Caenorhabditis elegans: one gene and its partner. The protein of the gene in region 1 purifies or fractionates together with the protein of each later gene. This does not show direct contact. Each region holds a gene or a part of one and is shown in the gene's direction. Other genes may lie near its edges.

The links.
Region 2: the proteins of nhr-184 (region 1) and dcaf-13 fractionate together in Caenorhabditis elegans (co-fractionation; one large-scale study listed by BioGRID). This does not show direct contact.

The regions. Positions count from the first base shown.
Region 1 is NC_003283.11:2,205,851-2,222,057, reverse strand, and holds nhr-184 (Nuclear Hormone Receptor family), read left to right. Parts: upstream 1-7,579; 5' UTR 7,580-7,597; coding exon 7,598-7,779; intron 7,780-7,825; coding exon 7,826-7,884; intron 7,885-7,931; coding exon 7,932-8,131; exon of another isoform or gene 8,132-8,245; coding exon 8,246-8,467; intron 8,468-8,519; coding exon 8,520-8,710; intron 8,711-8,755; coding exon 8,756-9,125; 3' UTR 9,126-9,187; downstream 9,188-16,207. Other genes in the region: nhr-56 (Nuclear Hormone Receptor family), read right to left, coding at 838-1,210, 1,262-1,452, 1,512-1,721, 1,769-1,992, 2,622-2,746, 2,820-2,923; nstp-8 (Nucleotide Sugar TransPorter family), read right to left, coding at 3,967-4,271, 4,737-4,868, 4,911-5,004, 5,055-5,177, 5,780-5,918, 5,962-6,059, 6,105-6,200, 6,266-6,334; Nuclear hormone receptor family member nhr-133, read left to right, coding at 9,985-10,163, 10,226-10,284, 10,336-10,535, 10,635-10,856, 10,906-11,096, 11,141-11,510; Putative galactoside 2-alpha-L-fucosyltransferase svh-11, read right to left, coding at 11,849-11,944, 11,989-12,083, 12,501-12,582, 12,636-12,742, 12,788-12,888, 12,937-13,043, 13,257-13,373, 14,436-14,679 and 1 more; srt-40 (Serpentine Receptor, class T), read left to right, coding at 15,777-15,832, 15,872-15,962, 16,005-16,207.
Region 2 is NC_003280.10:4,415,252-4,432,505, reverse strand, and holds dcaf-13 (DDB1- and CUL4-associated factor 13), read left to right. Parts: upstream 1-7,603; 5' UTR 7,604-7,611; coding exon 7,612-7,681; intron 7,682-7,733; coding exon 7,734-7,892; intron 7,893-7,945; coding exon 7,946-8,657; intron 8,658-9,263; coding exon 9,264-9,518; intron 9,519-9,741; coding exon 9,742-9,880; 3' UTR 9,881-9,986; downstream 9,987-17,254. Other genes in the region: toe-1 (HEAT repeat-containing protein 1 homolog), read right to left, coding at 9-106, 406-701, 1,111-1,691, 2,255-2,569, 3,029-4,703, 4,759-5,000, 5,505-7,108, 7,154-7,295; bpnt-1 (3'(2'),5'-bisphosphate nucleotidase 1), read right to left, coding at 10,294-10,694, 11,444-11,768, 11,831-11,983, 12,118-12,198; sod-5 (Superoxide dismutase [Cu-Zn]), read right to left, coding at 13,493-13,590, 13,636-13,789, 13,838-13,996, 14,585-14,668, 14,780-14,821; ZK430.5 (separase), read right to left, coding at 15,953-16,305, 16,364-16,540.

The DNA.
Region 1 (16,207 bases):
AAATTTGAAAGATGAGCCAGAGGCCTTTGCCGTTTGGCAAATTGATTTTTGCCTGTTTGCCAAACTTGCCGAAAATTTGAAAAAATAACAACAATTTGGCGGCATGCCCATTTGCCGGAAATTTTCATTTTTCCTAAATTTTTTAATTGGTCGTTTGTCAAATATTTGTAACATCTGTTACCAATATATTGACTTGCAGGAAAATCTTTGTTTTTAACAAATTGCCCGGTTTTCCTATATTGCCAAATTTAAAAAAAAACTGAAATTTTCCCATTTGCCTGAAATTTTTTTTCTTGCAATTTGCCGATTTTCTCGTTTGCCGGAACTTTAAAACCAGGGAAGTTTCGATTTTAACAAACTGCCGGACTTCAGAACTTAACGAAAAATTGGAAAAAACGACAGTTTGCCTCTTTCGAATTTGGCGATTGTTCGACAAGTTTCACAACTTGCCGGTTTGTAGAATTTGCCAATTTTTTCAATTTGGTAATTTCAAATTTGAAAATTTTTCGTTTTTCTTTTATTCGAGTTTTGGGTAACAATTAATTTTTTCAATAATTTTTTACACATAAAAGTTAACCGATTTTTGATAAATCTCTAGTATATTTTCAGTACTTTTTTTTAAAATTTTTGCCAATGTTCCAAATTCCTTAAAATTGCAGCCGACAAAATCTTGGTTTGCGCTTTCCAATTCCAAATATATCAATTATGTGTTATTTTACACAACTATTAAGGATTTTAAAACATCAAAAACTGCAAATTGGTAGAGATCTTCATAAATATTAAAGTTAAATTATGCAATTTCAGATCATACTTTGTGAATGTGTTAAGTGCAAAAAATTAAAACCCAGCATTACAAAACATATCAGGATGTGAAAAATGTACAGAAATTATATTGAAAACTTTCGCCACCGCCTGTCGTTCCAGCCGTTCGAACAAGTTTCTCCTAATCAAATTGTTGATTTTCATCATTTTTGTGATTCTAGATGAGTAGTTAGATATTTGTTCCGATTGATAATAGTCGTGAAGCTCATTGGATACAACTTCTAGAAGCCGATCAGTGAACATCAAGACATCCCCCTGATGCTGCTTTCCAGCATGTGCCAGGCAGAGCTCCAGGAGCATAAAGTTCAATTCCATGTCACTGGGCTTCAGGTCGGAGATTGCGTCGACGATTATGTTGAATGGTTCGTCGTGGTGGCAGTCGAGGTAGCTGGAAATGAATTAAGAAAATTTTTGTAAAAATTTTTGTGCACAAACTCACTAGGCCAGTTGCTCCTTGCTATAATTCGTGCACCAGGAAACATCTACTTCGAAGTTTCCAATATCTATTCCCACATCCTTGCCAATCATATAGAAATTTTGATTAAGCTGTTGATTTTTCCGCTCATTTGCAGTTTTCACAAGTTTGTCCAGTCTTCCCCAAAGGATCCATGCCACCTTTAAGATTTGCATCTGGAAAATGATTACTTTAAGCAGCCGACGACTGGTAGGCTTGCACTATTTTCACTGACCCTGATGCTCAACGGGAGCTCCTGAAACTCATCGAAATGGCTCAGCCACCTAGCAGTTCGCAGAAAATCTTGCTCCCAGAAGATCATAGATTCTTTCAAGCCCAACACCTTGATTGTGCTCAAATTTGAAGATTTTTCATTTTGCAAATCCTCAAATTTTTTTGTCATTCTTCCCAAATTGCTATTTGATGAAAATCGTTTTCTGTCAACCTAAAATTATATTGTTTTTTTCTAGTTAAAACTATTTTTTAACTCACATTACCAAAAATGTCAAAAGCTTGATTTATCAAAAACGTGACATCAACTATTGTCTTCACCTTGCTCGCTTTATCAGGCTCACAGCTTAAAATAAATGCGGGCCGGCCCAGGAAATTTGCCATGCTTTTGGGTACCTTGCTCCTTTGGGAAAATGAAAAAGATCCCGATGAGTCGGAGCTTTCCGATGTGGAAGTGGAGATTAGGTCGCGGTCGTGTTGAAATTCTGGAAAAAACAAAATGTTTTTCTTGAAATTTTTTTATTCTTAAAATACGAGAAAAAAGAAAAACATATTTAAAAAAAATTCCGTTTTTTTTTTTGAATTTTTCAAGCGCCAACAATTTTTGATCAATTGTTCAAATCAGATTTCCCACGTGGTGTCAGAATGTCCCATTTCAGTTTGATCTACGTAGGTCCACTAAAAAATGCGGAAGTTGAGACGCAGAGTTATCATCTGTTTTTGCATGGTTAAGAACGTGCTGACGTCACACTTTTTCGGACAAAAATTCCCGGGTTTTTTTTGTAGATCAAACCGCAATGGGACAGCCTGACACCACGTGATTCTCTTAATTTTTTAAAAATTTTTCTTCGTACAAATTTTGCTCTACCATTGGAAATTTGCATTTTTTTATTGTGAAACGAAAATTCAATGAAAACTCCGTCATAATTTTAAAAGTCTGCCAATTTTTTTCTTTAAACTTAAATTTTATTATTTTTAATACAATTTTTGTGCTAGAAATTTTTCAAAAAGTCCATATATTTGGAAAAATTGGCACTGTACCACATGACTAAAAATATGAAAAATGTAGGAATCTTTTTAAATTGAAGTTTTAAGTTGATTTTCAAAAACTCACTGTTCGCATCCATACCAGCTTCCAGACAAATTCTCAATCGACATTTTTTGCAGTAGAATTTCCCGTGTTTATCGATTTTACAATTGCCAATTGGACAAAATGTTTCTCCATCTACATTTGTTCTTCTGGAAATTGCAAGTGTTCAGTTTTATTTAAAAAAAAAAATTTTTTTGTTTAAGAAACCTCCCTTGTTCTTACCTGAAAAATGCAGCACATGCTCTGCAGCTGAGCACTCCAAAATGATTGCCAAACGCCGGGTTACCACAAATTTTACAGAGACTTTTACGTTTTGAGACTTGCATTTGAGAATTTAATAAGTGTATGATCAACACATGATTGCCGAAATGTAAGACACGCAGGATGTGAAAGAAAAGTTCAAAAGTGCAAATAGAATAAAATCGGGCAGTGGTATGAGGGGTAGACTGCGGTTATTGACATAGTGTGTCTATATAATCGGGGCAAAGTTGTATTGCGAAATATGGAAATAATATATTAAAAATTAACAGAATTTCAAATTTTTTGAATATTTCTTTCGAATAATCTTAAACAAATTTTTTGATTCCCTAAAATTAAAAAAAATTAAAGAACGATCCGTTCTTCAAGCGCTATGCACTGCGGATCTGGGAGTCAAAAAAACATTGAAAGTCTGCAAAAATCCACATTTGGTGGACCAAAATGCCTGAACATCATAATGGAACTTTTTTCAAAATTTTTTTTAATATTTTTTATTTTTTTTTGGAATTTTTTAACAGTCAAAAAGTAACACTTACTCAGTTTTTGCCACTCGTAATTTTGGAAGTCGGTCAAAAAAAATTTCTCCTACATTTTTTTTTTTTTTTGAATAATTTGTATTAAAACATTGTAGGGGTCAGTACATGCGACATTCGTTTGGATTTTCTCAAACGCTAATATTTTTCAAATTTTGCCAATGTGCCAAAACTTTGACAGAAAATTTTGAAAAATCAGAAAAGTTTTGGAGTGTTTTATTATGATATTCGGTTTTTTTGTTCATTATAAGTGTTTTCAGACAAAATTTACACTGGTGCTGCTCCACCTTTAAGTTGTGAATTTTGCGATAAAAATGCACATCTTGAAAATGGGAACGGTTTTTTCATTATCTCTAAAGTTCATCAAAACGCCACTATTCCATCTAGATCCATCAAATAGCGTCGCATTTGATGTTGAATGTCCGCCGGGCTTCTTGGTAGGATAGACACGAATATTGAATCAAGCGGAACAATCTTCAAGAACGCTATCGCCCGGTAACACAGTTGGTTTGATTAAATTGTATTTATTCCGTGGAAAACCAATAGTACAAACAAATATATAGTAACGATAAATTTTCTTAATTTTTTTCTGCGTCGCTGTCCTGTTCCAGTGGCTCATATTTTGTAGATGTAGTAGCCGGGAACCGTGAGTATACCACAATAGAAGATGTGACAAGTAGAACTCCGTAAATGAGATCTATACTAAGAGTTCGGTCACCAAGGAATATGGACACAATTGCTGTGAGGCCTATTGCAAGCGATTGGCAATACGTCTTCATCACATTATCGGCGTACTTCATTACCAACGAAATGCAAAGACCTACGATTGAATTACCAATTGTAACAAACCACACTATCCAATTCCAGCCAAAGAACATTTTTCCTGAAATTTCAAAAATTTATTGAAGGTGGAGTAGCGCCAGTAGGGATTTTGTGTAAATACACTTATAATATTCCAAAACAACTAAATATTATAATAAAACACTCTGAAAAATTTCAGATTTTTCATAATTTTTGGTCAAAGGTTTGACAAATTGCCATAATTTTAAAAATTATCGGCTTTTCAGGAAATCCAGAACAATGTCGCATGTTCCGATCCCTTCAATGTTTTAATACAAATAATTGAATAAAAATTAAAGTATAAAAAATGTAGAAAAAACAATTTTTTTGGTCGACTTACAAAATTATGAGTGGCAAAAACTTAGTAATTGACACTTTTTCACTGTAAATAAAAAATGTTCAAAAAATTTTTTTATTCGATCATTTTGGCACAATAGGAGTGGTTTACAAAAAATTTTCCCGCTGGCGCTACTCCACCTTTAGCAGGAGCTCCTTAAAGCCTTCTTACCTGTAAGAACGGCTTCTCCGTCTGTAGAGAGCATTGTGATCCCAGCAAAAAGCAGTGTTAAAGTTGAAAGCCGGATATTCTGAACCCACACGTCAGCTGACGATTCTTTCAGCATTTTTTCAAAGTAGACACCTTAAAGTTACTTCATTTTAGGTCCAAAGTACAGTAACCAACCAGCAAAGCCACTTGTCCAGCACATACCAAACACAGCCGTTATCCCTAGCCAGAAATTTCCGAATACTTTCCCATGGGGGTTAGAATTGTCAATCTGAAATTGGAGGCATTAATTTAGAGTCGATAACTCCAGGAGGAGCATACCTGCACAAGAACCACACCGATGAGAGCCATACCCTGAGCCAGCCATTGATAATTGGAGAGCTTTTGGTTTAATATAATGACGGATAAAAGGGCGGTGGTCAATATGCGTAATTGGACAGTTACCTGAAAATTTAAAAAATACCACGTATGTAACTTTTTCGTGAATTTTCTCATGTAATCTAATTTCCAGGAATTTCAGAAAAAATAAAATCACTAAAATGTCCGGTTAATATGTCTTTTTAAATATCAACTTAGAATATAAACTTATAAGTGCTGAATCATTTTTGAGTTTTCGCGTAAGTCAACTAAGATTTTGGCATTTTGGCATAATTAGGATTAAAATTTTATTTTCTCGGTTTTGTTTGTATATCATAATTTGAATTATTATTTGTCACATTTTCGGACATTTTTCTACAAAGAAATTGGATCAATTTCAATGTTTCAGCGTTTTTCTTAGAGATTACCAAATTTTCTTTTCAAAAACATAATTTAAAAAAAAAGACAAACAGTGCCAAAATTAAATAAACTAATGAAAACTATGAAAACCCAATAAAAATTGCCAAGAAAAATTAAACATTTTGTAAAAATGCCAAAATTTAGGTGATTTGTATGAAGAATTCAAAAAAAAATCATACTAAATTTAAAAATTTCTAAAAAATTTTTTACAGTTTGAATTTGGTATATTGATCCCATATTTTCTTAATTTCATTTTGGGCAAAAATTACCGAATAAGTTGTCGCATCAATATTCGCGAGTGCAATGTAGTATAAATTGTTCTGAATAGCATATACCACTGCTGGAACCGACACTTTCAAGGTTTCCACTCGATTTTTCCAAATGTGTTCGTATAGCTTTTTGCCAGTTCTGTAAGTGTGTTGGAACATTACTTTTTTCCCCAGAATCTTACTTCTCAAAACTTTTTGTTTTAAATAAAACAATTATCAGGCAAAATAATAACTTCAAAACTTCCATCATAAAAACCGAAGTTGTCGGAAGGAAATGGCTCTGAATAGTGATTTTTTCTTGGCAATTGAAAATTAAGATCCTTACCGTATTAGCCATTTGTACAAAAAATGGCATGGCTGTGTGGTGTGCGGTAACTGCGATCATAGATAAAAGTTGAATTGAGCATAACCCTTGAATGATCTAAAATTAACTAATTTCCAAGCTATCATGAATTAAAAAATGAAATTTTAAAAAAATTGGCGTACCGAACTAGAACTCGATTTGACTTTCTTATCAATCTCTAGATCCAAAATTTGATGTTTCACATCACTCATTTTGCACTGAAAATTAAATTTTCAGAGAGTTACAAATACAGCAAATGTATTTAAAGAATAAGCAACAAATCGAATCAATAGGAAATATATTGGCTTTTCAGGATTCAAGATCGTGCGATAATAATATGTAGGCTGCGCCTGGTATCGCAGAAAAAATCAGATTTTCCTCTCAAAAGTCTAGTGAAATTTTCCTTTTTTTTATTTGTCGCTTCGTTTTTTGTTAGACATGTTTTTATCCGGTTTAACTCTAATTATTTAAAATTTCAAAATTTTTCTAAAAAAATCTTGAGTATAATACCTCAATTTTCCAAATTTTCAAAAATGTTCTTCAATTTTTTTCCTTTTTTTAATTTGAAGGAGGACTAACGGTTCTGACGATTTTGAGCGTATAGGCCCAAAATGTGCTCAAATGAACGAATTTTGTAATGAAACTTCTTAGAAATTTTTGAAGAATTTTTTAAGGCGGTTCAAAATTTCTAAAAAAATACACTGATTTTTCCAACAAAAAAAATCTCCAAAATTTCAATAACTTTTAATACATTTTTTTACATTTATATTCGGTCATTACTACTCATTTTTTTATTATAAAAACTCCAGATTTTCAAGATCCCGTCAAAAATTTTTTTAATCGGAAAAAAATTCGCATTTTTTGGTGTGATTTTTCAAACATCAAACAAGCCTGGCCTAGACTGAATTTTTAAAAAATGGGGAGATTTGTTCCTTGTCTTAAATTATTCATTCACATTATGTAAGCATTTTCGTAGTTTCGTCACTCTTGGCAACTTTTTCTATTGACGCTGATGTTGCTTCAAACCCCACCAGGCCTTGCTTTAGCAGTCTGCGTCTCCGATCATTGGTTTCCATTTTATATGTCTAGTATGTATTTAGTTTTCTGTCAACTGATATGTATTGGACTTTTTATTTAATTTTTTTTATTGATTACCATTATATATTTTTGTAGAAAATTTAAATTTCCCGCAAAAATATTTTGAATTTAATTTCTCCCAAAAATAGTTTTTTGAGAAAATTTTGATTTACCGCCAATTATTTTTTAACAAAAATTTGAATTTCCAGCTTAATTGTTTACTGAGGAATTTTGAATTTCCCGCCCATATTCTTTTTTAGAAATTTTGAATTTCCCGCCAAGTATTTTTCAAGAAAATTTGATTTTCCCGCCATATTTTTTTTGAGAAAATTTGATTTTCCCGCCAATATTTTTCTCAAAAAAAAATTGAACAAATCTTTAGCAATTCAGACGACAAAATGCCAGCAGCCCTTCTCATCTCAGGACCGTGTAAAATTTGTGATCTACCAGCTCACGGAAACCATTTCGGTGTGCTCAGTTGCCGAGCTTGCGCCGCATTTTTCAGAAGAGCTTCTCGAAGTCCTCGGTTTCAAGATAAAGCCTGTGAATATGGGGATTGCCGGATTTTTGATGCTGGAGCGTATGTGTTTGCTGGAAATTGAAAAAAAAAACTTCAAATTTTCTAGATATCGCTGTAAAATTTGCCGACTGAAAAAGTGCTACAAAGTCGGAATGGACGCAAGTAGTGGGTTAAAAAGAATTTTTAAAAAATTTTAATATCTAAATGTTCAGAATTTCAAAAGGACCGTGACCTTATTTCAAGCTCCAATGCATACCTTAAACGCACGAAAGTTTATGCTCCACAAAGTTTGGCAAACTTTCTCGGGCGGCCCGAATTCATAATAAGTTTCGAGCCCGAAAAGGCTTCTCCTTTCAAGACAGTGATAGATGTGACGGATTTGGTTCACAAAGCTGCAGAAATTTTCCAGGAGGTAAAGGTTATTTTTTGGCACAAGCCGACACTTCACGGGCCAATTGATGTTTTTTTCGCATCAAATTTTGCCGTCCTGTAATTTGTCGGTTGCTCGCTATTGTGCAATTTTAAGGACCTAGCCAACTCACCAATGCCCTACAAATACAGCAATAGCCTGGAAAAGCTCACATTGGAAATGGAAGACTTGCGGTTAAGAAGCTCAAATCATAAAGTAAAAATTGTGCGGAATATTGGGAAAGCTGAATCGCTTGTCTTTTTCGAGCAAATGTTCTTGGCGACCGCGAACTGGTACGCAAGACTTCCAGATTTTACAAGTCTGGATCTTCGTGTTAAGGTATGGTATTCGGTATTTAAATTTCGAGCCAACAAAGTCTGTAATTTTCCAGCTGGAAATACTAAAATCCACGTGGATGCTTTGGATTCGACTGAACAAGCTAGCTGAAACAGCACAAAATCAAAGAATTAAAGAAATGGGTGCAAACATTTTTATGTGCTCAGAAAACACTTGTCTGAATGTGCAGGATATCAATGTTGACTGGAGCTGGTGTACCAATTACGGTGCAGAGCAAATGCAAGCGTAAGTTTCAGGTTTTTTAAATTTTCTTAAGAGAAAATTTTACAGATTCCTAATGCCAAATATTGATAAGCATTGGAGACAGCCAGTGGAAGACCTCGTGAAGCTCAACCCAACAGATATGGAGCTCAACTTCATGCTCATTCAACTCTGCCTTAACGATGCTGGCAAGAAATTTCAAGGACGTGTCCTAGAGGCAACTGATAAGCTCTTGCAAATCAATGCAGATAATTTGCATAATTATTATACCAAAAAGTTGAACATGCCATCATACTCTGGACGATTGACAAAACTGATGAAAATCAACCAAATTGTCGAGGAAGATGTGAGGGAGAGAAAGGAAAAAGCGAAGATTGTCGAAGTTTTTGACCTGTTTTCAATTGTTTATTCGCATCCGGAAATGTTTGAGGGCACTTGATTAATAATTGACAATAAAATTTTTGTTAAACAACTTACTAATGAATGTATCCTTGATTTAAAAAAAATCGAATTTTGAATGAAAAATTAAATTTTTATTCAATCATCACTTTTAAAGGTGGAGTAGCGCCAGTGGGGGAAAGTGTTAAAAACTACTCCGATGGTGCCAAAGTGGCCGAATATCATAATAAAACCATTCAAAGATTTTTTTTTGAAAATTGTTTATTTGCTGTCAAAAAGTGACAATTACTCAGTCAAAAATTTTGGCAACTGGACAAAACTTTGACCGGAAATTATGAAAAATCTAAAATTTTTTCGAGTGTTTTATTATAATATTTGGTCATTTTGGATCATAATAAGTATATTTAGGCAAAATCACGACTGACGCTACTCCGCCTTTAAGATATCAAATTTTGTTATTTCTAGAACTGCTGTTTTCCATTGAGAAAACTAAAAAACTCTCACTGAACTTTGGAAGTTCGCTGCTATAATTTAGCATTTAAAATGTTTTTCTAACTTTTTCTTTCAAGTATTGTCAGGGATAAATTTAAAAAAAAACCACCCATGCGTTTTAAAATGACCAAAAAAAATTTTAAAACTTGCCCAACTTTTTTGAGATTTTTTGACTGAAAATTTTGAAAAACCTAACAGGTTTTGTGTTTTTATGGAATTTGTACTTATTGGACTATTATATAACGGCACTCTATTTTTATTTGTTGATCTTTTGATATTCCCTACACCCTAAAACCGCAGTCTATTTATTTTCCTTTCCTTCAACAGTCTGCGTCTCTCGGCACGTTTTATCGGTTCTACACTACCATTGATCATCGTTCTTTCACGTGTTTTATGTATAACTAAAAATGCCACCTGCCCTCTACCTTTCCGGGCCATGCGAGATCTGCGAGCAACCGGCTCACGGCAATCATTTCGGTGTGCTCAGTTGCCGAGCGTGTGCCGCATTTTTCCGAAGAGCCGCACTTCAAAATGCAAAATATCAGGATAGAGTTTGCAGAAAGGGAAATTGCATTGGAAATGATTTGTAAGTGTTTTTTTTGTGTAGAAGCTGAAAACTTGAAAAATTAAAATTGTAAAAAATTTCAGATATCGCTGTAAAATCTGTCGGTTGAAAAAGTGTTGTGAAGTTGGGATGAACTCGAGCAGTGGGTATTTTTTAAACGAATAGAATGAAATTAATTTCATGTCATTTACAGAATTTCAAAACGACCGGGACCTCATTTCGTCTTCCCTCCGTCCAACGAACTACACGAAAACCAGCGCACCTCAAAGTTTGGCAAATTTTCTCGGCCGGCCCGAATTCATTTTGTGCTGTGAGCCGGACAAAGCCAGCTCCACGAAACGTCTGGTGGATGTGACAAGTCTTGTCGATAAAGCTTGGGCGATTTTTCAAGAGGTAATGGAGATATATTTGCGCCTAAAATATGGTGTATTCCTGAAACTTACATCAGATTTCACGCAAAATTTTTAACTATTACTCATCAAGTCTTTCCAGGATGCTGCATATTCATGGAGTCCTAATCATTACCCTAACTCACTGGAAAAGCTAACCTTCGAGATGGAAGAAATCAAATTAAAAGAGTCGAGCAAAAAACTGGAGATTGCGACAACTATTGGACGAAATGAGGCGTTGCTATTTTTGGAGCAATCATTTTTGGGAGCTGCTCAATGGTTTGCCAGGCTTCCAGAATTTTCGATGCTAGACCCGCAAATTAAGGTAATGCTTTTTTATCAGATGCTCTACATATTTACTTGAATTTTTCTAGATAGATATTCTCAAAACTTCCTGGATGATTTGGGCTCGACTGGACAAGCTAGCAGCAACTGCGGATTTTCATAGACAAAAATTGCTGGGAAATGATGTATACATGTGGACAGACAATACTTGCATGAATCCTGGAAATGTTAAAATCGATATAAAATGGAGTTCGAACTATTCTGTGGAGCAGTTGAGAGGGTTATGGCGGCTTTGGATTTTTTAATTTTAAATTTAATTTTCAGATTTCTAGTCCCCGATATCGAAAAATACTGGCGACATGCTCTTTCGGACCTGGTAGAACTGGACCCCACAAACGTTGAGCTCAACTTCATGCTCATTCAGTTGTGCCTGAACAGTGCTGGGCAGAAATATCAGGGCCACGTGCTAGAAGCCACTGAGAAAATACTGCAAATTCAATCGGATAATATGCACGAGTATTATACCAAGAAGCTGAAGCTAGTCAACTATTCTGGAAGACTTGCGAGGCTGATGAAGATCAATAGAGCTATTGAAGCAGACGTGAGGGATCGGAAAGAGAAGAATCATATTGCTAAAGTGTTCGATTTGTTTTTTGTTGAGTACTCCCATCCGGAAATGTTTGAATTTTCTTGATACGGTTTTTTCAATAAAGTTTTCAATAATTTAAAGGATATCCCGATTCCTTTCTTACCCGAAAAGCGCGGATTGAAATTTTTATCTTCTAATTTCTCGAATGAGATTAAAAATAGAGATTAAACCTGAAAAGGCCTTCAAAAATCATGGAAATTGAAAGTGTCCTCCCGATTTTGCAAAATCCTCATTTTCCATGTTTCGGTCGCTGTAGATGTACGGATGATAGTTTAAAAAAAGAATTTGAGTCAGTGCTGAATAAATAATATAAGGTTTTCTTAAAATCAAATATTTATGAAGCTAATACTAAACTGGTAAATTTACAAAAAAACACATTAATGTCAGCTCCTCACAACTGTAAAACTATTAGCGCTTGCAAATTTCAGAGGCGTCCAGTGTGATGGGTAGAAGTCACTTGCAATAAGACCTCCAGATTCCTGCAAAAATTTTTTATTTTAAAGAAAATCAATAATCCAGTTACAAAAATATGATCCCCAGTGTATTTAATATCCAGATAGTAAACTTTGTTTCCTTTCGAAAAATACCCAATCCACCAGCCGAATGTTGAGCGGGGAGCTGGAATTTTGGTGTTTCTGAATGAAAATTTGATATGGGAATGTATAACAGTACCTGTTCAATCTGAAAATAGCTTATTTTTTATTGGAAAGTAAAAAAAAAATGCAAAAAAAGTATGGAAGTCGCCGTAAAAATCCCCGTTGAAAAATGTTCGACAAGGAGCAATTTTCAGCCAGCATTTAAGTTTTTTTAATCTTTCAACTAGGGCTGGCATATTTGGCGTCCGGTCGAACGGTTTTAGAACTCTGAAAAATTTTCCAAGGGGACGGTTTTCACGGCGGCCGACAACTTCCGAGTTTGGCCCATAAAATTTTTTAATGAGTGGCTAAACTCGGAAATTGTAGGTCGCCGTAAAATCCTACCCCTCGAAAAATTTTCAAAGTTCTAAAACCGAAATCGCCCTTTTCCCCGAATCACCTGTGATCAGTACCACATCACAATTATTTTTTGAATAGAGAAAATCGTCGATTGGAGGGTTTTGAGAAATATAATATTCTGCCTGAATTTTTGGAATAAATTTTTTCATATGGTTGAACTGTTGTTAACACTTACATTTTTTCCGACATCTGTAGATAATACTGCATCACTAAAATAAGTTTCCAAAAAATTCAAATCGTCGCCAAATAATACTATTTTTCGATTTCTACTTCCTACTTTTTCTGAAAAAAAAACCTCAAAAGTTGCAAAATAAACTAGTTACATACCATTTTCATTCAGAAATGTTACTGCATTTTTCATAAACTTTGGATCCGACGCATAGAAGAGGTATTCAACAAAATCGCCTCTTCTAGAATGAACACAAGTTCTGCAATTAGTTTTGACAATTTTTTTCAATTGAAAATTCTGCTCTTACACGTGATTTTGATCATCGGAAATTGGCAGATTGCCAAAAATTTGAATCGATGTAGGATTTAAGAACTCGATAAGTTCATTTCGCATATTGGGGAAATATTTCCAGCTCTGAAGAATGGAACCTTAAAAGTTAATTTTACTACAGGAGCGGTATCAGGGCCTGTCGCTTGTCTCAAACCTGCCTTCAGGCTCTGCTCCTGCCTCCCATGGAAGCTCTAACTCACAATTAATTTTTAACCATCAATTTCAAAAAAAAAGTTAGTTTTTGTCTTGATTTCATTGTTTTTGCTGAATTTAATAAAATAATTCTAAAAACAAAACCTGATAATATTTTCCGGAGAGGTGCAAATACTCATCTCGATTTTTTTCCAAACTCCACGGACTCTTATGTAAGCAGCATGCCCTTTGAAATTTCGTTTCGCTGATTGAGCGGGGTACCTGATAATAAAATTATGTAGATCATATTATTGTATATATTTTGTAAATTAGAATTACTCTTTTTTTACCGCTTCAATTTTTTTTCTTATCAAAAAGCTGTAAATTTTCTGCATTTTCTGGTTTTATGTCACCTTTAACAAAAATTAGAAAATCCTCTTTATCTAGCCAACTGCCGCCCAGTTCCACTTCGGAATATCTATGTCCGGCTGCAAAGTTCTTCACCACCAGTGCGATATTTTTGAACGACAAACCCGAATTCCCGTTGCAATTCGACGCCCGAAAAATATTTCAAAAGCGCAATCTAGGTTTCTCATCTTGTTATGGCAAACTACATACGAAATTAACACTAGTAAGACGTTTTGGGTGGGTAGGTGTACTGTAGGGTTACTGTAGTTTTGGAAAATGCGAGTTGTTGTCTTTGGAAGGGATTTTGGGTTGGGGTTAGTGTGGGGATGTTTTCGTGCAACTATAGGAATACTGAAGTTGTACTGTAGGATTACTGTAGGGTTGGTATAAATGGCATTTTGTCATTAGAAGGTATGCGATCTCCCCTAGTATGAAAAAAATATTTTAACACCCATGTTTCAAGCTGAAATTTAAATTTGTATCTTCTAATTTCTCGATCAAGATAAAAATTTGCGATTAACGCTAAACAGGTTAAGGAATCAAGGAAAATGAAAGTTTTCGCACGTATTTACTATCTCCGTGTTTTAGTCACTTCGGATCTCAGTCGAGTAAATGTCACGGTTTACCGGTACAAAATCATTTACAGTCATAGTCTCCTCAATTGCAAATCCCCCAATTTTTTCCAGAACAATGTAAAATTCCACAAAAGAGAAACACTATTGTTTTTAATCTATTCTGCTGATCCAACTTGCTATACCCCTTTCTTAAACTAAAAAAACGAGAAACCAATCAACAAGTCGCTCCTCCCACTTTCCAACCAATCAGTGTCGTCGAACTCCACACACTTTATCTGGTTGGTTTAGACGTGGCCTGGGCGAGTCGCTGATTGGTTGGAGGAAAATGACTATCTAAAATTTCAACAAATGAAACACCCACGCTTCCATTAAGAATTCTGAACTTCTCCATTAGCCTTGGCATCGTTTTTCTCAAATTGTCCAACATTTTCTTATGATACCCATTTTCTATAAAAAACAGAGGGGTCCTGTTCAAATGCTTGGATAAGCCATAGAGGCTTGCAATTTCGAAAATATTGTTCCCTAACTGACTGCTCGAAGCTAAATTGCTGGATAGATATTTAGCAGAAGTGTTGAATTTAATAACAGCTGGTGGATATGGAATTCTGGAAAGTTAAATTTTAACTTTTATTGGAACAGTTGAAAATTGTCAACTTACGCCATAAAATCCAATTTTTTGAATCGCCAATTAAAGTAAATAATACAAATAATTGTTATCCAAATAATATGCACTTTAACAATTTTCAAGCAGTATCTACTGAAATTATTAATTGTCAAAAATTTCAAAAAATGAAACAATCGCATATTCAAGGTGTTCTTGAATTGAATTTGATTGTTTTTTGGCTAGAGCGATATTTTTCTTTCATATTCTCCTGATCCGCAAACCGGATAAGATGCCTAAATTGAAACGCAAAAGGCTTGGGATGAAAGATGAGATGATTAAAAAAGGGCCCGTCATACTCCGGAACATATATTTGAGAGTAATTTAGTGTCCCGCCAATATTGTTCTTAAAAAAACTGAATGTCTGCCAGAACTGTTTTAGAAGGTTCAAATATCCGCCAAAATATTTTAATTTAATTTATTTATTTTTAATTTATTGAAATGTTTTCAAAAAATTTCCCAAAAACAAATTCCACCTGAAATTCAATTTTCCGTCTGAATTATTTTTCGAAAAAAAGATTGAGGATCCACCAAAATATTTTATCAGAAAATTTGAATTCTTGTCATAATTTTTCTCAACAAATTAATGTATTTCCCGCCAATATTTTTTTCTCAGAAAATTTGAATTTCCGCCAAAATATTTTTCAAAAATTTCAATCTTTTGAAAAATTTTCTCAAATGCTTTGAACATCCGTCAATTCTTTTCTTAGAAGACATGAGTTACCGTCAAACATTCTATCAGAAAATTTGAATTCTAGGCAAAAATAACTTTCTCAGAAAATGTGGATACCTCACTGTTTCTACCCCGCGTGTCATCAAAATTAGCAGGAACCACGTTTTCACATAAAACTGGGGCGTCACCAGACATGAACAAGCTAAAAACAAGTGTTGTTTTTTAAGGTTCTAATGATGCTTTATCAAAACACATCTCAACTTGTTGCGAATTTCCGCCATAATAAAGTTACCGACACGTTTCCGTGCGGAACTATATAGTTTTTTTGGCAATATCACCTGTTCCTCATTGCTAACTTCATTTCAAAGATGGACAGCATCATCATCTATGGCTCCATCGAGAAGATTCCTCTGTACAATTGCAGGTGAGTTTAATTTACTAATACTTAAAACCACGTTTTCAGCGCTCACTCCGCTTCCGAATGGAGCGAACTAGATGGGGAAAAGTGGCCGATGGTTGGAGCAGGCCTTATTGCATATGGCATTGTTATTGATGTAAGCTTAATTTTCTGAATGTGCTACAATTTTTCATCTTAGCTTCTCTACCTACCAATTCTCCTGATCATGCTGGAAAAGGAACTTTTCGAAAAATCGTGTTTCAAAATCATGTTTTTGCTCGGAGTCACCGATTTCTTCACACTAATCATAATCTCCATTTTGACGGGATGGTTTGCAATCAATGGCGCTGTGTACTGCACATACCCACGAATAATGTACATCAGTGGGACTATAGTCTGTGC
Region 2 (17,254 bases), on another chromosome or scaffold:
ATTTTGATTTAAGCCGATGAACCGCCACTCCAGAATGTCTCTCCGAATTTGTGTTGAAGAGAATTGATAACCTTTTGACATTGTGCCTCGACTTGTTTGTTCTCATCTGGAAATTTAAAATTTTAAAGGATAATAGGCAAATAATTTGATCTTCAGGACAAGAAAATCGAGAAAAAAGTGGATTTTCATAACTTTTATGTAAGCTTGTTTCATATAGTAATTACAGTTTTTAACTAAAAAATTAAGGATTTTGAAAATAATTCTAATAAAAATTGGATTTTATGGTTAACTTTCTAAACTTTTTTTTTGATTTATCGATTTCTCCTGAAAAAAAAGAAAAAAATTACGATGAATCTCTTGGTATGAATGAATTATTGTAATTTTTACAAAATTTCCGAAACAAACCTTCAATAAGCTCATTAAGGAACGGAAGAAGAATCGAAAGATGCGGTTGTACTCCATCTCCGATCTCCTTGATCAACAACTCGAGAACAATGAGAGCACGATAACGGATCTTTGCTCTCGAATCTCTTGTCTTGAGCATTATCTTATTCAGAAGCTCTGGGAAGCTGTCCGGATCAGCATTTCCGATACGGTAGATGGCTGGAACCAGGTGATCGGAACAACGTTTCTCATGGCCTTCAACCTTCGTGTTAACCAATTCATTGACTATCACATCCGACACCAATTGACAACGATCACTGCAAAATTGATAAAAATTACAGATGATTTGAGATTTGAGGTCTAGAAAATCCTATATTTTTCAAAAAAGTCCAGTCAAAGTTGTGAAGAATTTCCAAATTCTTGGAAAATAGGGAATTTTTGAGTATGATATCATTGAAATAATTTTTTGAATCGATTTTTAAAATTTTGATAGTTGAAAACTGAGGTATATTAAAAATTTAGAAGTTTTCTTTTTTAATAGATTTTGAAATAAATAAATAATACCTTAAATAATACAATTTCAATAATGTATTTTTCGGTTTTTTTCGGCCAAAAAAGTTTTTTAAAAAGGCTATTTTTTAGCCGGGTAGAGGAGAAAAACTTGATTTTATCTTCTTTTTTTTTGTCGAATTTTTTTTTCGGTGAGCTGCTCCAACTTCAACTCACACAGTGAAAAAGTCTCTGTGCCTAGCAGCATTCGAAATGACATCAATCGCAAGTGTCAGTGCCAGATCCGTCTCTAATGCCTCAATTGATCCTCGTTTTCCACTCAACAACAGCTCATCTGTTCCGAGCAGCAGCGTCGCATTGCATTTCTTCAGGACGAGCGCAGAAATTTCCAAAATTCGACCGAAATATGGAAGAGCCAACGAGTTGAACGAAGTGTAGAGATCATTGGCAAAGTGGAGAAGTGAAACGAGTCGAAGTCTGGCTGCCAAATCAGCCTTCGCTTCGAGACCCGGCTCAGCCCAAGCGACGAGCTCATTGACGACTGTACGGAATTCCACTTCACTGAGAATACTGGCAATGGAGATAACGAAATTGAAGACAGTGTGCTCGAGCTTTTCAACATTCTCAAATTGATCCGATTGACGTTCTTGACTTCTGACAATCAATGTTGGAGTGATGACATCACTGACGAAGGTTCTTCTGAGCTGAATTACTGATTTACGGAGGATTTCCGGCTTCTGTTGATGTTGAGTTTCGATGTATCCAGTGAGCAAGTTGAATAGAGCACTGAGAGCCTTCTGTAAATTTAGAGCAAATTTATATTTTGAAAATTTCTGGCAAATCAACAAATTGCCGGAATTTAAATTTCCGGCAAATCAGCAAATTGCCGGGATTGAAAACTTCTGGCAAATCGGCACAATGCCGGAATTTAAATTTTCGGCAAATTGCCGGAACTTTAAATTTCCAGCAAATCGAAAATTTGGCGGAATTTAAATTTCCGGCAAATCGACAAATTGCCGGATTTGAAATTTCTGGCAAATAGGCGATTTACCGAATTTGCCGGAAAAAAGGCAACTGCCGAAAATTTCCGGCGAATTGCCAGAATTGAAAACTTCCGGAAAATTCTTGTTGATTTGCCGAAAAACGACAACAGCCAGAATTTTTTCTTTCGCGTTTTTATTATACTCAAAATGACACCAAAAAAACTGATTTTTTTTGTAACTAAAAAATTTGATTTTTCAGAAATTTCTCAAATAATTTTATTTTCGAAATTTGGCAAGAAATTTGGCACTTTTTTAGTCAATTTTTCGGCTTTTTAGTCAATTTTCGGCGGGGAATTCAAATTTTTGTAAACTGATACCTTTTCAGTCTTCAACTCTCCAACCGTCTTCACAATATGAGCAGGAAGCACGCGAAGTTCGATAGAAAGCAATGAACGACGAATCAACGATAGACGATGATGGATTCCAGTTTTACTTCCAAATCCACTAGTCTGTGATCCTCCTTGGAATGCTGCTGTTGTGCTAGAAGATGGTTGATTGAGAGCCAGGAGCTCCGATGGATCTCCGAATCGAGCAATAAGCCGACAATATCGAATGATGACGTCACCAGTCGATTCAACGACGAATGAGGCGAATTGATCGTAGACTCGTTGGATGCATGTTAGGGAGCAGATCTGGAAAATTGAAGATTGAAAAAAATTGAGTTAAAAGGGCAGAATCTACAAATTTCAGGCGAAATTTATCAATTGTCTGGAAGAAAATCTAAAAAATTGAAGTTAAAATTGTTAATTTTCTGTGAAAATCATCAAATTTTCGAGTTTAAATGACGTTTTTCGCCTCAAATTGTAGATTTATTACACAATTTGACAAAAATCGTCATTTAAATCTGAAAATTATTTATTTTTTCCAAAAAATTCAGTTTCAGCTTTAAAGCTTTAACTCTTAGCTTTAAAAATTGGGATTTTTTTCCAGAAAAAGTGGCAGTTTTAACCGAAAAATTCAAATTTCGCCAATTTTGACTGAAAAATTTCCAAATTTCAGGCAAAACTCGAAAAAATGCTCCAGAAAAATGACACTTTAAGCCAAATTTCAGGTTTTTCGAGCTATTTTTAGTGTAACAAACTCTGCCGTACCAATAAGGTATCACTTCCAAACTTGTTTCCTCCCAGTGATTGTTGTCTGATTCGGTGACCTCGATTTCCACGTCCACCTGCCACCGATGATCCTGGAGATGCTGCAGAATCATACTGAGGCTTCGAGAATCTGGCGATACACTCCTGAACAGTTGCTAGACACGTCTTCAAAAGACTTGTCGCATGATGAATCGTAGATCTCATATTATGCGAACGAATGAGCTCTCCGGCAAGAAGAAGCACATTTCCAGTCAAATTCTCGTCGAGCTTCTGATATTGGCTCACAATGCTCACACACCGTTGCATTGTATCTGCGAGAACTAGCGATTCCGATTGTGACGGAAGATTCTTCGCGATCAACTTCAACGTATACGCAGAATTCTGGCACATTCTCATCTTCTCCTCACTCTTCGTCTCGGCAACGATAAACTTGTTGAGAGCCTGAGCCAACGTGATAAGCTCCTTCTCGTTGATTCCACTATCGGCGAATAGGTAACGATCGTGTCCGAGCTTGATGTTCGCGAGTTGCAGGACTTTCTCGCACATCTTATACGACATCTTCTTGTCATTAACACACTCTTGAAGAACATCAGCGATGAGACGAGCGGCTACACCTCCTGGAAGCAAGTGTCTCAGCTTCTCACTGACCACCTCGGTTCTTGACGCGAATGCAACCCAATATCTTTGAGCTTGTGGATCTGATCCATCTTGATCATTGGCTTCCTTGTTCGCAAACTCATCCAGCTCAACGGAGCACTCGATAAGCCTCTTTCCAAGTGGTAATGCATTCTTCAGAAGCTCCTCGTCATCATACGCAGCTAATCTTTCAATCAATACTCGATTTGAGAAGATTCTCGAGATAAGAGTGACCACTACATATCGGAAATGTCGAATTCTCGGCAAAGTCTGAGCTGTTCGATCGAAGATCATCGTGTCCAGATCCTTCTTGGTGGTGGTGGACTTCGCTGGCTTATCACCTCCAAGACGACGCACATATTCACACATCTCGAGGACACTTGAAAGCTGCTCGAATGGATTGAGAGCACTGAGAAGTTCAATTGCTAAATCATCATAAGCATCTTGATCCGATCCTCGCTTCATTGCTTCCTGAGCAGCTGCATCTGAAGATCTCTGCCAGCGAGCACAGAAACTGGACACCAACACCAGCACAACAGTCGATGCATTCTCTGCTTGAACAGCTCTAGCGATGGCTTGTGCGATTCTTGCTCGACGATGTGCTGGGATATCTATAGCACTCGCGGCGAAGAGCCGAGCCAACTCGATGAGCTTCTCGGTTTGCTGTTGCTTGGTGAGCACCGCTTGTCCAGAACTATTAATGATCGTTGAGAACAGCGATTCGACAGTCTTTTCGACGATTGAAAGTGTCAATTCATTGTCTTTTCGAAGCATTCCATTTCCCATGAACGTGAATACAGACATCACGTGCTTCACCACTGAATTGGGGGTGTGCTTGGCAGCGGCCACAATCAAACGGAGACAATCTCGAAGGAGGTGATGATTGTGAGTGGATCGCATCGTTTCGATAACACAATCCATGTCGACTTCCGACGCTCCGATCTTTGTCTTTTCAGGATGTTCAAGGATCTTTCGAATGGCATTCACAGCGAGATGCTGCTGGTATGACGAGCTTTCCACGTCGGATTTGGAGTTCACTCTGAAATTATTTTAATTTTATTGTTTAAATTCAATTTCTAATAAATAAAACTCACTGCTTAACAACTGCAAAGAGAGCAGCAAGAACCTTTTCACTCGACGGAATAATTTGACGAGCATTCAGAAGATCCAACACAAATACGACACGTTGATTGAACGCTTCCCATGATTCTTCGGTTCCAAACGTTTTTTCGACGAGATTCTTCTTCTGAGCACCCTTGGTTCGTTTTGGAGCAATTTCCGAGACTCCATCGAATTTGGTGAGCAGGTCAGCGACGAATTGGGGGTTGAGGTTGGCCTGAAATAGAAAAATTGAAAATCAGATTAATTGGGTGAAGATTTTGTGTTAGTTTGCTTAATTATACTAAAATTAACAGGAAACAATCAAATTTCGTACTGAGACCTCTCAAAAAATGTCAATTTTCGAAAAAAAGAGCTAAATTTTGCTAAAATCTGAAATTTCGCACAGTTTTTATCGAACTGTCTCCTAAATTTGTTGATTTTGCCAAATTTTAGGCAGATTGGCACCCAATTTTGGTAATTTCGGAGCTTATCTACTTATAATATGCCTAAATATATAACGAATTACGGCGAGAAAAAAAATGACCAAAATATGCAATTAATGTGGGATAAATCGATAAAAACTGTGCTCCAGCTTCTACGACACGGAAAATTTGGGGAAATTTCAAATTTTAGTTCAAAAATTGGTTTTTTTTTTCGAAATTTTGATTTGCCATTCAAATTTTCAAGCTGGAAATTCGGACTTTTTAGGGCTGATATAGTGAAATTCGACAAAAATTACCCCAGCCAACGCAGCCTTAACACTGCCTCCATCAATCTGTTTGACTCCTCCAACACCGACAACCTTCACAATCTCCAACACAAATTGCTCGACGTCATCTTCCACCTTACGACTGAAATATTTCTCTCCTCGTTGAGCCATCTCATTCAGAGCCCATTCGACTTTGTCCCATTTCTCTCCGTTCAACCATTCGGTCGCCTTATTGATCGGGTCACCGGAGAAAACTTCTCGTTTCGCGAATTCTGAACTTTGAGCCAGCTTTTGAGCTTTTTCTGAAGCGGTGAGCTTGATTTTCTTGGAAGATGGAGCTTCCTCGGAAATAATTTCAATAGATTCCTCAGATTGAGTGGCAGCGACAGCTTCACTGGCGAATTGCACAATATCTTCAATTTGGTATTCTTTGAGCACATTTTTCAAGGTTTTCTTGTCCTTAGCCTTCAATTCGGCGTGAATCGCATCAAATTGCTTCGCAAATCGCATTCCAATAGCTCGAATATTCGATTTCAGCTTCTTCTTATTATCGAAAATATTTCCGTCCATTCCTTCCTGAAGGATCAGCTTCAAGATTGTTCCAGCTTGATCTCCAGTCAAAATCGAAGCATCTTCAATAGTTTCTATAAGAACATCAATCGCCAAGGTATTATCTTCAGATTCTGCATCTTTTGACAACACAATAAGTTCTTTCCACAGAACATTGAAGAACTTTGTCGTATCTGTACGCTCTGAGAGTTCCTTCAGAATCTTCCAGACATCAATGCCTTCCTCGTGGCGGAGCAGCTTCTTCAGCGTATTCTTCGACAAACTCTGCACGTTTTGCTGCTGGAAAACAACCATCAGAGTCGAAAGTGAAGCTGCTGCGGTGTCCGATCGCATTTTTGTGATCAGCAGCTTGCACATTGAGTTCAAAACCTCATCCTTGAGCTTCACCGTCAACACCAGCTGGGAGATGACAACCATTGCAGAGTAACGGAAAGATTTCATTGGGCTTTTAATTCCATTTTCGATGAACGGCATCAACTTGGCAAGCATCATTTCGTCGACTTTTTCTGGATCCGTGAACATGCTCAACAACAATTTCGCGTGAAAATTGAAGAGAATAGGATGTTTAATTTCCAAATAGTCACTTCCAACAATCTCAACAGCATGTCTGATGTGATCCGTGATACAGGTAATAATCGAATGCTTGCTTGACAACGTGGCTCTTGCGATTGAAGTGAATGGGATTGGTGTCTCCGTCTTCGTGAATTGCTGCATAAATTGCCATTCTTTCGATCTTTTCCAGTCAAAATCCAGAATACGGAGAAGTCTGGAGTAGACTTTGGTCTCGTGGAATGGGAGAAAAGTGAGAAGAAGCGTCTCGGCGTTGAAAGAGTAGATTTGATAAGTGTGGATCAGGAATTCAAGAACTTGTTGGCAAGCGAAATGTTGTAGATACGGAGAAAGTTCCAGAAGAAGCTTTTCGATTTGTTTGTTGAGCTCTTCATTGGCGCCTTTTTCGAGCATTGACCTGACAAAGTCTACACGCTCTTCAGAGAATAGATCGTTGGCGAATTCTGTATCAAAAACTGGGTCGATTCTCTTCATTTGCTCGAGTCCCGCAACTCCTGAAATAATAAAGAATAAATAAATTAAATTCTCGAAGCTCTTACCAATTCTGTGAGCGGTCTCATTTGATAGTTTATTGGCTTCTTTTCTATCGAACAATAAAGAAACATGGCGCTTCTCAACCGTCAAGTGACGAGCGGCCGATGTTCTCAAATTTTCCAACTGGCTTGTCAACGACGTCGCCATTCTTATGATACCCGGGGTTTGGAGAAATAACAGACAACAATTCTGAAAAATGGTAATTTTATTTAATTTTTGAAACAAAAAAAAAACTGTTCAAAGAAAGAAAATTGCGCTTAAAAATGCGAAAATTACAAAAAAATAATTAGAATAAAAAATAAATTTTCGAGTTTAGGGCGCGGTACGTGAACACCGCACGCAAGTTTGCGGACCGCACACCACACTTTACGACACTTAAATTTTTTCTTTTTTATTGTTTTTATATAAGAAAAGCTTTTCGTAATTTTCCTCGAAATTTAAGTGATTTTTTTCAGGTAACAAAATGAAAATCAAGGTGATTTCTCGAAATCCAAACACTTATCAAAGAGAAACCACGGACAAAAGGAACAAAAGTAAGATTTTCCTAGTATTTTATAATTTCATATATTAATTCAATGTTTCCAGTCGTTCGAAACTTCAACACACCAGCGGACCCATTCAGATCTCAAGTTGAATACACACGTGCTCTAAATGCCACGAAATTGGAGCGAGTTTTCGCTAAACCATTCGTTGCGAGTCTTGACGGCCATGTCGACGGAGTTCAAGTTCTTGCAAAGCATCCGAGTAATTGATTTTTCTTGAAAATCTCTAGAAAAAAATATTTTTCAATTTTCCAGATCGCCCATCCACAGTTTTCTCCGGCGCCCGAGATGGTCAAGTAAAAATCTGGAATTTGGCTTCCAGAGAGTGTCAAGCAACTTTAGACGCACATCGAGGACTTGTTAATGATATTTCAATTGATAATAATAATGGAGAAAACTTTGTAACTGTTGGACAGGACAATCAACTCAAATATTGGAAGATCGAAGGACAACAGAAAACGCCGGCCCATTCAATTGCAATGGATGGAATTGTGTATGGAGTCTCTCATCTCTCATTCTCCTCGGATTTTGTCACTTGTGGAGAAGATATTAGTGTTTGGAAGCCGTATCGTGAGACACCACTACGCAGTTATAATCTCGGCACTGACACAATTCACACATGCCGAGCGAATCCAGTCGAAGAGAACGTGATCGTTGGCGCCCGCTCAGATCGTTCGATTTACGTGCTCGACACGCGACAAGACGTTCCACTGAAGAAGGTGACGATGAAAATGCGTCCGAATAAGATCTCGTGGAATCCGATGGAGGCCTATAACTTCACGGTGGCTAGCGAGGACTATAGCCTGTACACATTTGATATGAGATATATGGAACATCCTGTTCAATCTCATCAGGGATTCACGTCTGCTGTGCTTGATGTCGACTATTCGCCGACTGGTCAAGAATTTGTGGCTGCTGGATATGATAGATCTATTAGATTGTTTAAGGCTAGAGATATGACTAGCAGGTGAATATTAATTGCTGAAAATATTGTAGATCGGCAATCTAGAACAGGGATAGCGGCATGTGCCGCTCGGCAAATTTTTTGTCATTTTCGGCAAATTGCCGATTTGCCGGAAATATTCAATTTTGGAAATTCACCAGATTTCTGATTTTTCGGAAATTTTAATTTTCGGCAAATTGCCGATTTGCCTGAAATTCTTAATTCCACCAATTTGCCGGATTACCGATTTGCCGGAAATTTTGATTTGTGGGAAGTTGCCGATTTGCCGGAAATATTCAATTTCGGAAATTCGTCGGATTTCTGATTTGCCGGAAATTTTGATTTGTGGCAAGTTGCCGATTTGCCAGATTTCTGATCTGCCAGAAATTCACCAGATTTCTGATTTCTCGGAAATTTTGAATTGTGGCAAGTTGCCGATTTTGCCGGAATTTCCAAAAAAAAAAGTGCAATTCCACCAATTTGCCAGTTTGCCGATTTGCCGGAATAGTCAATTCCGGCAATTTGGTGATTTGCTGGAAAAATCGTTTGCCGCCCACCCCTAATCTAGCACTCCAAAATTTTAAAATATAAACTTCAAAATTAGAATTAATTCGAATTCTACAATTTCAGAGACGTCTACTACACAAAACGAATGGCCTCAGTCCTCTCCGTACTCTGGTCTGCTGATTCGAAATTCGTTCTATCTGGAAGTAACGAAATGAATATTCGTGTCTGGAAAGCGAATGCCGCGGAGAAGCTTGGACCACTCACAAAACGAGAGAAACAAGCTTTCGCTTATAATGAAAAACTTCGAGATACCTATAAGAACCATCCAGAAGTACGAAGAATCGCAAAGCATCGCAATGTGCCAAGACATATTTTCACGTGGGTTTTTTGCAGAAAAAATTCAGAATTTTTGGCCAATTACACTGAAAAATAGTGCCAAAATGAAGAAAATCACTTGATTTCTCTGAAAATAGCATTTATGCTGCTGAAAATAATATTATTTTCAGAGAAATCAAGTGATTTTCTGTATTTTCTCACTAATGTTCGTTTTGGAAAAACAACATTTTGTGGAAATTCCAAAGCAAAACTAAACAATTTTCAGAGCCGCCAAGGAGCACAAGCTTATCAGAGACGCCCGCGGACGACGAGATTTCCGACGAGCAAAAGCCGCTGGACTCGACGAGGAGGAATCATATCTGCCACAGACTCAGAAGATTATGGTTGGAGATGCCGAAATGTGAAGCAGCAGCGTCGTTTTTTCTTTTGTTATTTGTTGTTGTTTTCAAGTTTATCACACTTTTTTTTTTTGGTTGTTCTCCTATTTTTCCCAAAAAAAATCCTTGTTTTTAAATACCGCTAAATCAAAAAAAAATTATTTAGAGAAATTCGAAAAACAAAAAAATTAACCGAAGAATCGAAAAATTTTCGATTTTATTTCAAAAAAAAAAATCTCGATTTTTCGGCCATTTTTTCATTTTTTTTTTCGAAGAAAATAATTATGTTTTTTTATCGATTTTCCGTAAAATCGAAAATTTAAAAAAAAATTTGATAATTCATAATTTCATTTACAACACTAAAAAAAGAAAGAAAAATATTTAGACATGAAAGAAAATGATATTAAAAAGGAAAAAAATTAAATTTGGAATGCTTCAGATCACTTTTTCGATGAAATCTCCGGCAACATATTCTTGATTTCTTGTGGAATCGTATCGATATAATCCTTATGCTTGACCCATGAAGCCGTCGCCAGTACTCCTCCCGTATTATTAAGCTGCACACCGGGCTCATATCGAATATCACGGCCCGAAATGTCCGTAAGAGTTCCTCCAGCAGCAGTCAACACGGCTTCAACTGCACACGTGTCCCATTTCTTACAACCAGCACTTGCAAAGACATACGCTGCACACCCTTCCAGAACTTTGAGCACCTTGAATCCGGCTCCACCGACTTTTTCAACGCTATCCGCCAAATTTCGAGTTTTCAGAGCTTCGAGGGCGTTGGAGACAGATTCGCTGAGATGGCTTCGAGTTGTCACCACGATTTTTTGAGCATTTCCTGGAAAATATAATTTATTGAAAAATTGTAAAAAGCAGCGAAAAAATCGGGGGTACTCTAGTTTTAAAGGTTCATGACTGATTGATTAAACATTTTTGAAATTTTTTGCACAATTTTATTTTATTCGAAAATTGTTTTTTTTTTGCGATTTTTTCCCAAAAATTACGGTCTCGAGCGGAATTTTTTTTACTCGCGATTCCAGTGTTTTTCGTAATTTTTTCTTTAAAAAAAACTAAAACACCTGGGTACTGTAGCTGAAAAGTGGTAATTTTTGGTGACAAATACGGAAAATGGTTTTTTTTATTTGATAAATGTTTTCGGTATTATTAAAAGCTACATTTTACGAGTTTTGCGCGAAAAAATACGGTACCTGGTCTCGAAACTACAAATTTTTGTAAACGCAAAAAGGTATGCGACTTTAAGGAGTACTGTAGGTTCAAACTTCTGTTTTGTATCAATTTTTCGAAATTTTTCATAGTTTTTAGTATAATTTGTTAAAATTTAATGTGTTCTTATAGTTAAATTTTGAGGTTTTTAAATGAATAAATATAATTTTGCCGAAAAACTATGAAAAATCAATTTTTTTGAAAATTTGGAATTACAGTACTTGGTCGTTTCAAGACCAGAAAGAAGAATATTTTCCTCTTGCTAGGACCAGGACCAGGCAGTAATTTTGAGTACGAAATCGCACTTTTTCGCGAAAATTTTCATTTTTAATATATTTTTTTAAAATTTTAATCAATAATTACCAGTAGCCGGAACAACTCCATGAACTCCACAACCTTGAATCGCCCAAACCGTCCTTCCAAGCTTCTCATGATATGGTTGATGAATAATTCCAGCCACCGGTCGTCCCTTATACGCGATTCCAATCAACACAGTGACCTGCTCCAACAATGCCATATTCTTATTCTTAACTGCCAACGCGACTTCTGATGTTCCATCCAACGGATCCACCCAGACTACAACATCATTTTCCTGGATATTCTTGAGCTCCGTGCTCATCAGGCGTTCCATTTGGAGCACGTCCGCACTGAATCCCATTTCGATTTCCGGGCAAGCAGTTGTGTCTTCCTGAAAAAAAATTAAATTTTATGCTTTTCTAAATTAATTTTTGAGAGCTTCTAATTTTTTACCTCTTCGCCGATAATATTAATATTCTTGAAATGCTTCTGCAGAGACTGAACTATGCAGTATTGAGCCCGACGATCTGCTTCCGTTTGTGGATCGTAGCCGGATCCGTGCTCCGATTTATCGATGATTTTGAGATCTCCGCCGGCCATGACATTCTGAAAGACGAAACAATTTTTTTCCATTTTTAAACTTAAATTATTGATTTTTTTAAGCTTTTCGGCCTGACGAGAGGTCTTTTTTAACAGTTTTTCGAGTAGATTCTATATTTTAAAATTTAAAAAAAACTCACTTTAATAAGACCCCCGGCAGCCTCTGAAACTCGGACAGACGAGGCGACGAGTCTCGTGAGAAAACTCGCTTTGTTGAACATTTCAACTGGTGCCGAAATCATTCCATCCGTTTTTCGATCTTCTCGTTTTCTCTGCAATCGTCATTTTTTGTTCTATCTGATTTTTATTTTTTCAACGTGGAGTTCAACACGCGGGGATCGCAAAAGAGAGATAAAAAAGATAAAAAACGAAGAGGTAAAAAATTTTCTCGTTAACGAGAAATTTAATTTGATCGGTGATTGCGTAGAATGTGCGTAATCTGACGACATTTATATTTTATATTAAAAAAGCATGGCGTCCACGTGAAAATGATTTAAAAATGGATTTTCTCAAGAGAAAAATCGATTTAACGATCAAAAGATGGCCTGTAAAAAGGGAAGATAAAGAAGGTAGACGAGGAGAGAGTGCAGACACCGCGGAGACGCAGAGTAAATCTCTAGAGGAAATCTTTTGCCGGTTAAGACTGACAATTAGGAATCCCTCTTCTGATATTTATATATATGCAGTGAAAAGCGTGGGAAGTTATATAATTGCTTTGCTTATCACTGATAACTGATCGAAAATCACATTATTTTTTTCTAAATATTTTATTTTACAAAATTACGATAGCCAAAAATAGTTAATTTTCCGCTTTTAATGGCTTCCAAAGTTTATTTAAACATGAAAAATACGTTTTAAATTAATGTAAAACACGTAAACGACTAACGCGGCCGTGTGTCGATTTACGCAGCTTGTGTACTCCCCGTGGAGAAGTAATACTGTAGTTTTCGGGTAGAATTCTCATTTTCTGATCATTTATGCTGATTTTTTTTTGCAATTTACATTAAAATTGTTAATTCACTTCTTATTCGAAGTTGAATTGGTGAAAATTGATGTATTTACGGTTGAAAATAGAAAAATTCTCGTTTTTTAAAGTTTTATACAAAAAAAAATTTAATTTTCCTTTTATAAACTCGTGATAAATAGGAAATTCGAATCAAAATACGAGAAAAAATCCAAAAAAAAAAGAAAAATCAAGTATTTTATGCGAAAACTGTATAATCCTTTGCAACAAAAAACACTCTTCTCCACGAGGAGTACACAACCTGGCCGTGGCCGAACTTTTCAAAAGTATTCTTCCATTTTCAAATATCAGGCATTTGAATTTTATATTATTGAGTTTAAGACGTATTTCTGAACATGAAATCGCTGGTCCTGCCGAAAAAAAAATTCAAAGCTAAATAAAACGTTTATTTACAAGCAGCGAAAGTCTATGTACATTAGTAGGATTTGTGTTTCTCATGGAAAATGTCAAAAATCTTATAAATTAGAAAAAAAGAGTCCAGTCAATAAGATTTATGCAGGAGCGGCAAGAGCAATGACTCCACAAGCAGCGCGAGCGCCAGCGTTTCCAGTCTTCAAAGACTCCTCGGCCTTGTCGTCGATTCCCTGGCCTGAAATGTTTTGATATTTATCAGAACCTTCTGTCGAAAGCTTACCAAGATCATCTCGATCGACGTGGACAACCATGGAACGTCCGATAACAGTGTTCGCTCCGAAGAGGCTGACCACCTTATCGGAGAACTTGATCTTCGCAACTCCATCGGCGCCAGCTTCAACGTTTCCAAGGTCACCAACGTGGCGGACCACGGACTGAAAATAGTCATTTAGAGATAACAAATAGCCTGTGAAATCACTTACATCTCTTCCTCCATGATTCATTTTGCATGGATTGAAGTGTGGCCCAGCAGACGTACATCCATCGGTTGAGTCTCCATATTGATGGATATGGAATCCATGAAGTCCTGGTGACAATCCCTTGATCTCTCCTTCGAATTCGGTCTCTTCACCTTCGGCTTTCTGAAACGGTCTAGAGTAATAAATAGGGATTTGATTTTTCCCAATTTATTTTAATGGTGGAATGACTCCGGTGTGGAAATTTCCTATTAAACACATTGTAAGAAAATTTAAATTTTATATTTTAATGGAAAATGTCAGTTTTCGCCTAGTGCCATTCCAAAATTTCTCGCCTTTTGAAGTTGAAGTGCAACCGCGCTCCGACGCGAAATAATATAATAATATAATAATATGGGTCTCGTTAGGTATTGGGCAGTTTTTTCGTGGCTTTTAGGTTTTTACAATATTCATTTTAAAAAAAATTTGGCCTGAAAATAATTAAAAATGCAATTGAACAACTACTGAAAGTTTGGAGCAAAAATAAATAAAAAAGTTTGATTTTACAGTTCTGTCGCCAATACCTAACGAGACCAATTGGCAGTGGAGCGCAATTGTACTTCCATTTCAAATGGTGTGATTTTTGCGTTTTATATGATAGGCGAAAATTGACATATTTCTACAGAATATAATTTTTGGGGAAAACTCTCTGATCTCATTGGCGATGCTTTATCTTTAAAAATACCAAAAAAAAATCTTTCAACCAGTTCTCACCTGGGTAAGCCAAACAGTTCCGAAGACAGCAGTTCCACGGAGAACCGCTACAGCACGTTTCGACTCTACTTTGGAAACAACGTCCTGTAAAGTGAGTTAATTTAAAGTTTTCATATTATAATTGTCTTATTTTCGAATATTAATTTTTTATATGATACATCCACTTAAAATGTCCCAAAATATAAACGCATTTACCTGTGGAAGAACGGCATTGGCAATATCAGAGAGAATATCCATTTTCCTTTTAGTAAAATTTTCGTTAGCACAATATTCACAATACGACAGCGAATGTGAAGCGAACTGATGGAAAAAAGGGGAGGAATGTTCTAGTACAATAAGAGCTCAACGACCAACAACAACAACAAACAAAACGAAGAGATCATAGATTAGAGGACAAAACAACATATGGGAAAGGGGACAGAGATGAAGTAAACATGGATGGTAATATATTTAGTATGAGGATACTAGAAATGGATAGGATTTCTAGAAGCTTCTTTCTGATATTAAAAGTTGATTGACCAAAAAACTTCAAAAACTATGAAGTGGTTAGACATTTCTTTGAAACGCTCGAAATATTTTGAGAATTTGATGAATATGACACAAAACTTTATATTTCAAATTTTTTGAAATTTTCAATTGAAAAAATTTTGGAAATTTTACAATTGTATAATTAATACAATAAATACATGTGTTATAGTCTAATATATTACCTAATTATTAAAAATATTTTTTATTCACCAAGAGACGGTGTATTTAAGTATTTTCAATTACTTCACGTTATTTTTTTGTGAAGAAAATCATGTTTGAAATCTTCAAATTTTATAATGATTTAAAAAAGCGGAGTATCGAAATCTCTGGAATATTTTGAAAAAAACTCCAAATTTGCCCCAGGAATCCATCTTCTCGGAACTCGAGTACTCATCTTATTCAAATGCTGTTGAAAAGTTTCGCGTGCGCGAGATAAAATGCAGGCAAGGTCTAATCCACGACAAGGCAGATGCTATCCTTCCGCCATTATTTACAGCGCAAAAACTCACAGATGTGTTGCAGCAGCGTGAAAGATGTTTCCGATTTAACAAACTTTCACCAAATTAGCCCAACTTTACCCACTCCTCAACCAAGTTTAGCCACTTTTGTAAATGGAAGTTGAAAAGATGATAAGGTTGGTTGAAAAGCGGCGCCGAATTGCCGAGAGACCAGTTCACCAGGTGAGTTGGAAAGAAATTTTGTGAAAGTTTTGTGATCGTATTTTCTCGATAATAACAAAACATAGTACCGTACATTTTTATTGTTTCAAATATAACTTGACAATAACTACTATTTCAAAACTTTCGAATAAAAACATGGGTTCAAGTAGTTGTGAATCATTTAACTTTTCTGAACAACGTGGAAAGCTTTGATCAATCTAGAACTCGGTCGAGTAGTTCTAGGTTTCTTCGCTCCATGTTCTTTGCAGAAATTAGGAATGGTTGAAACAAGCAGTTTTCTTTTTCTTGTTCTTTTCAAATTGTCTTTTTCCTCTTCATTTTGAGAGGCTGTAGGATGCGGAGGTGCCTTCTGAACTTTGCTCCGTGTCTCTGTTATGGCTTTTCTGGGAACCTCTTGATTCATAGTTTCAGAACGCAAGGTAAGAATTTGATTTGAAGCTAGAGATTTCTGCTTCGGAGTCTTGGACACAGTTTCCTTTTGAATTTTCGTTGTTTCCTTCAACTTAATTGGTTCTGAAAAAATCGGTTTTCGTTGTCTTGTTAGTTTTTTTTGGTTTTTTTGCCTCCTCACCTTGACTCAGTGAAGCCTTTGAAGTGATATTATTATAATTTGATGCAAGGATAAGATTCGAAGAATTCGGCTCAGTTTCTCTTATCTTCGGTTTTTTTGAATAAGAAATCATTCTGCCTGTAGTTATAGGTAAGTTTTCCTTGCCGTTATTCCCGATTGAAGTGTGTTTTGCGACAACTGGAAATCCATATATCACGACGGAAGCCGCGGTCAAATAATTCAGGACGACCTTTTCCCTCGCCGTCTTCATCGCTTCTGATAAGTGCCGAATTTGATTGTTTCCAGAAATTGACTTGGTTTTCACAAAGCAATCATCAATCAATTCCATAAAGTAGCAATCAATTTCTTTATCAGTTACAGGGTGGGCCAAAAGTATGGTAACACATGAAGCGCTCTTTTACATGAGCTTTTCGCGCGACTGCCACGTCATACGTACATTCTTCGATCGAATACTGATCGCTGAATAAATTTCCTTCAATTTGACCTAAAATTTGCAATGTTTCCCAATAAGGTGCGATTTTAATCACCTCGGCAATTTAGCGAACCCTTTCGAAAAAACGGTGTTTTGGCACGCGGCACTTCCCACACAAACACACCTCCCACGCACGCCAATAATTTTCAGATGTATGATTTTTATGTTAAATTCAAAGTTAAAGAAGTGAAGAAGCGCTTTTGATTGTTTTTGTAGCCTATAAAAATTTTCTGTGTCGGCACTGGCGCCTAGCAATAACCTTTGAATATTTCATGAATTCAACTTTGCGAAATTTACTCAGTTTTTTTGGTTTCGAAAGGCGTAACGTCCCACAAAATCATCCGAGCTAAATTTTTTATAAAAAATCTGAAAAGTCAGGTCAAAACGTGCCAAAAAGTACAAAAATGAATTTTTCTTCA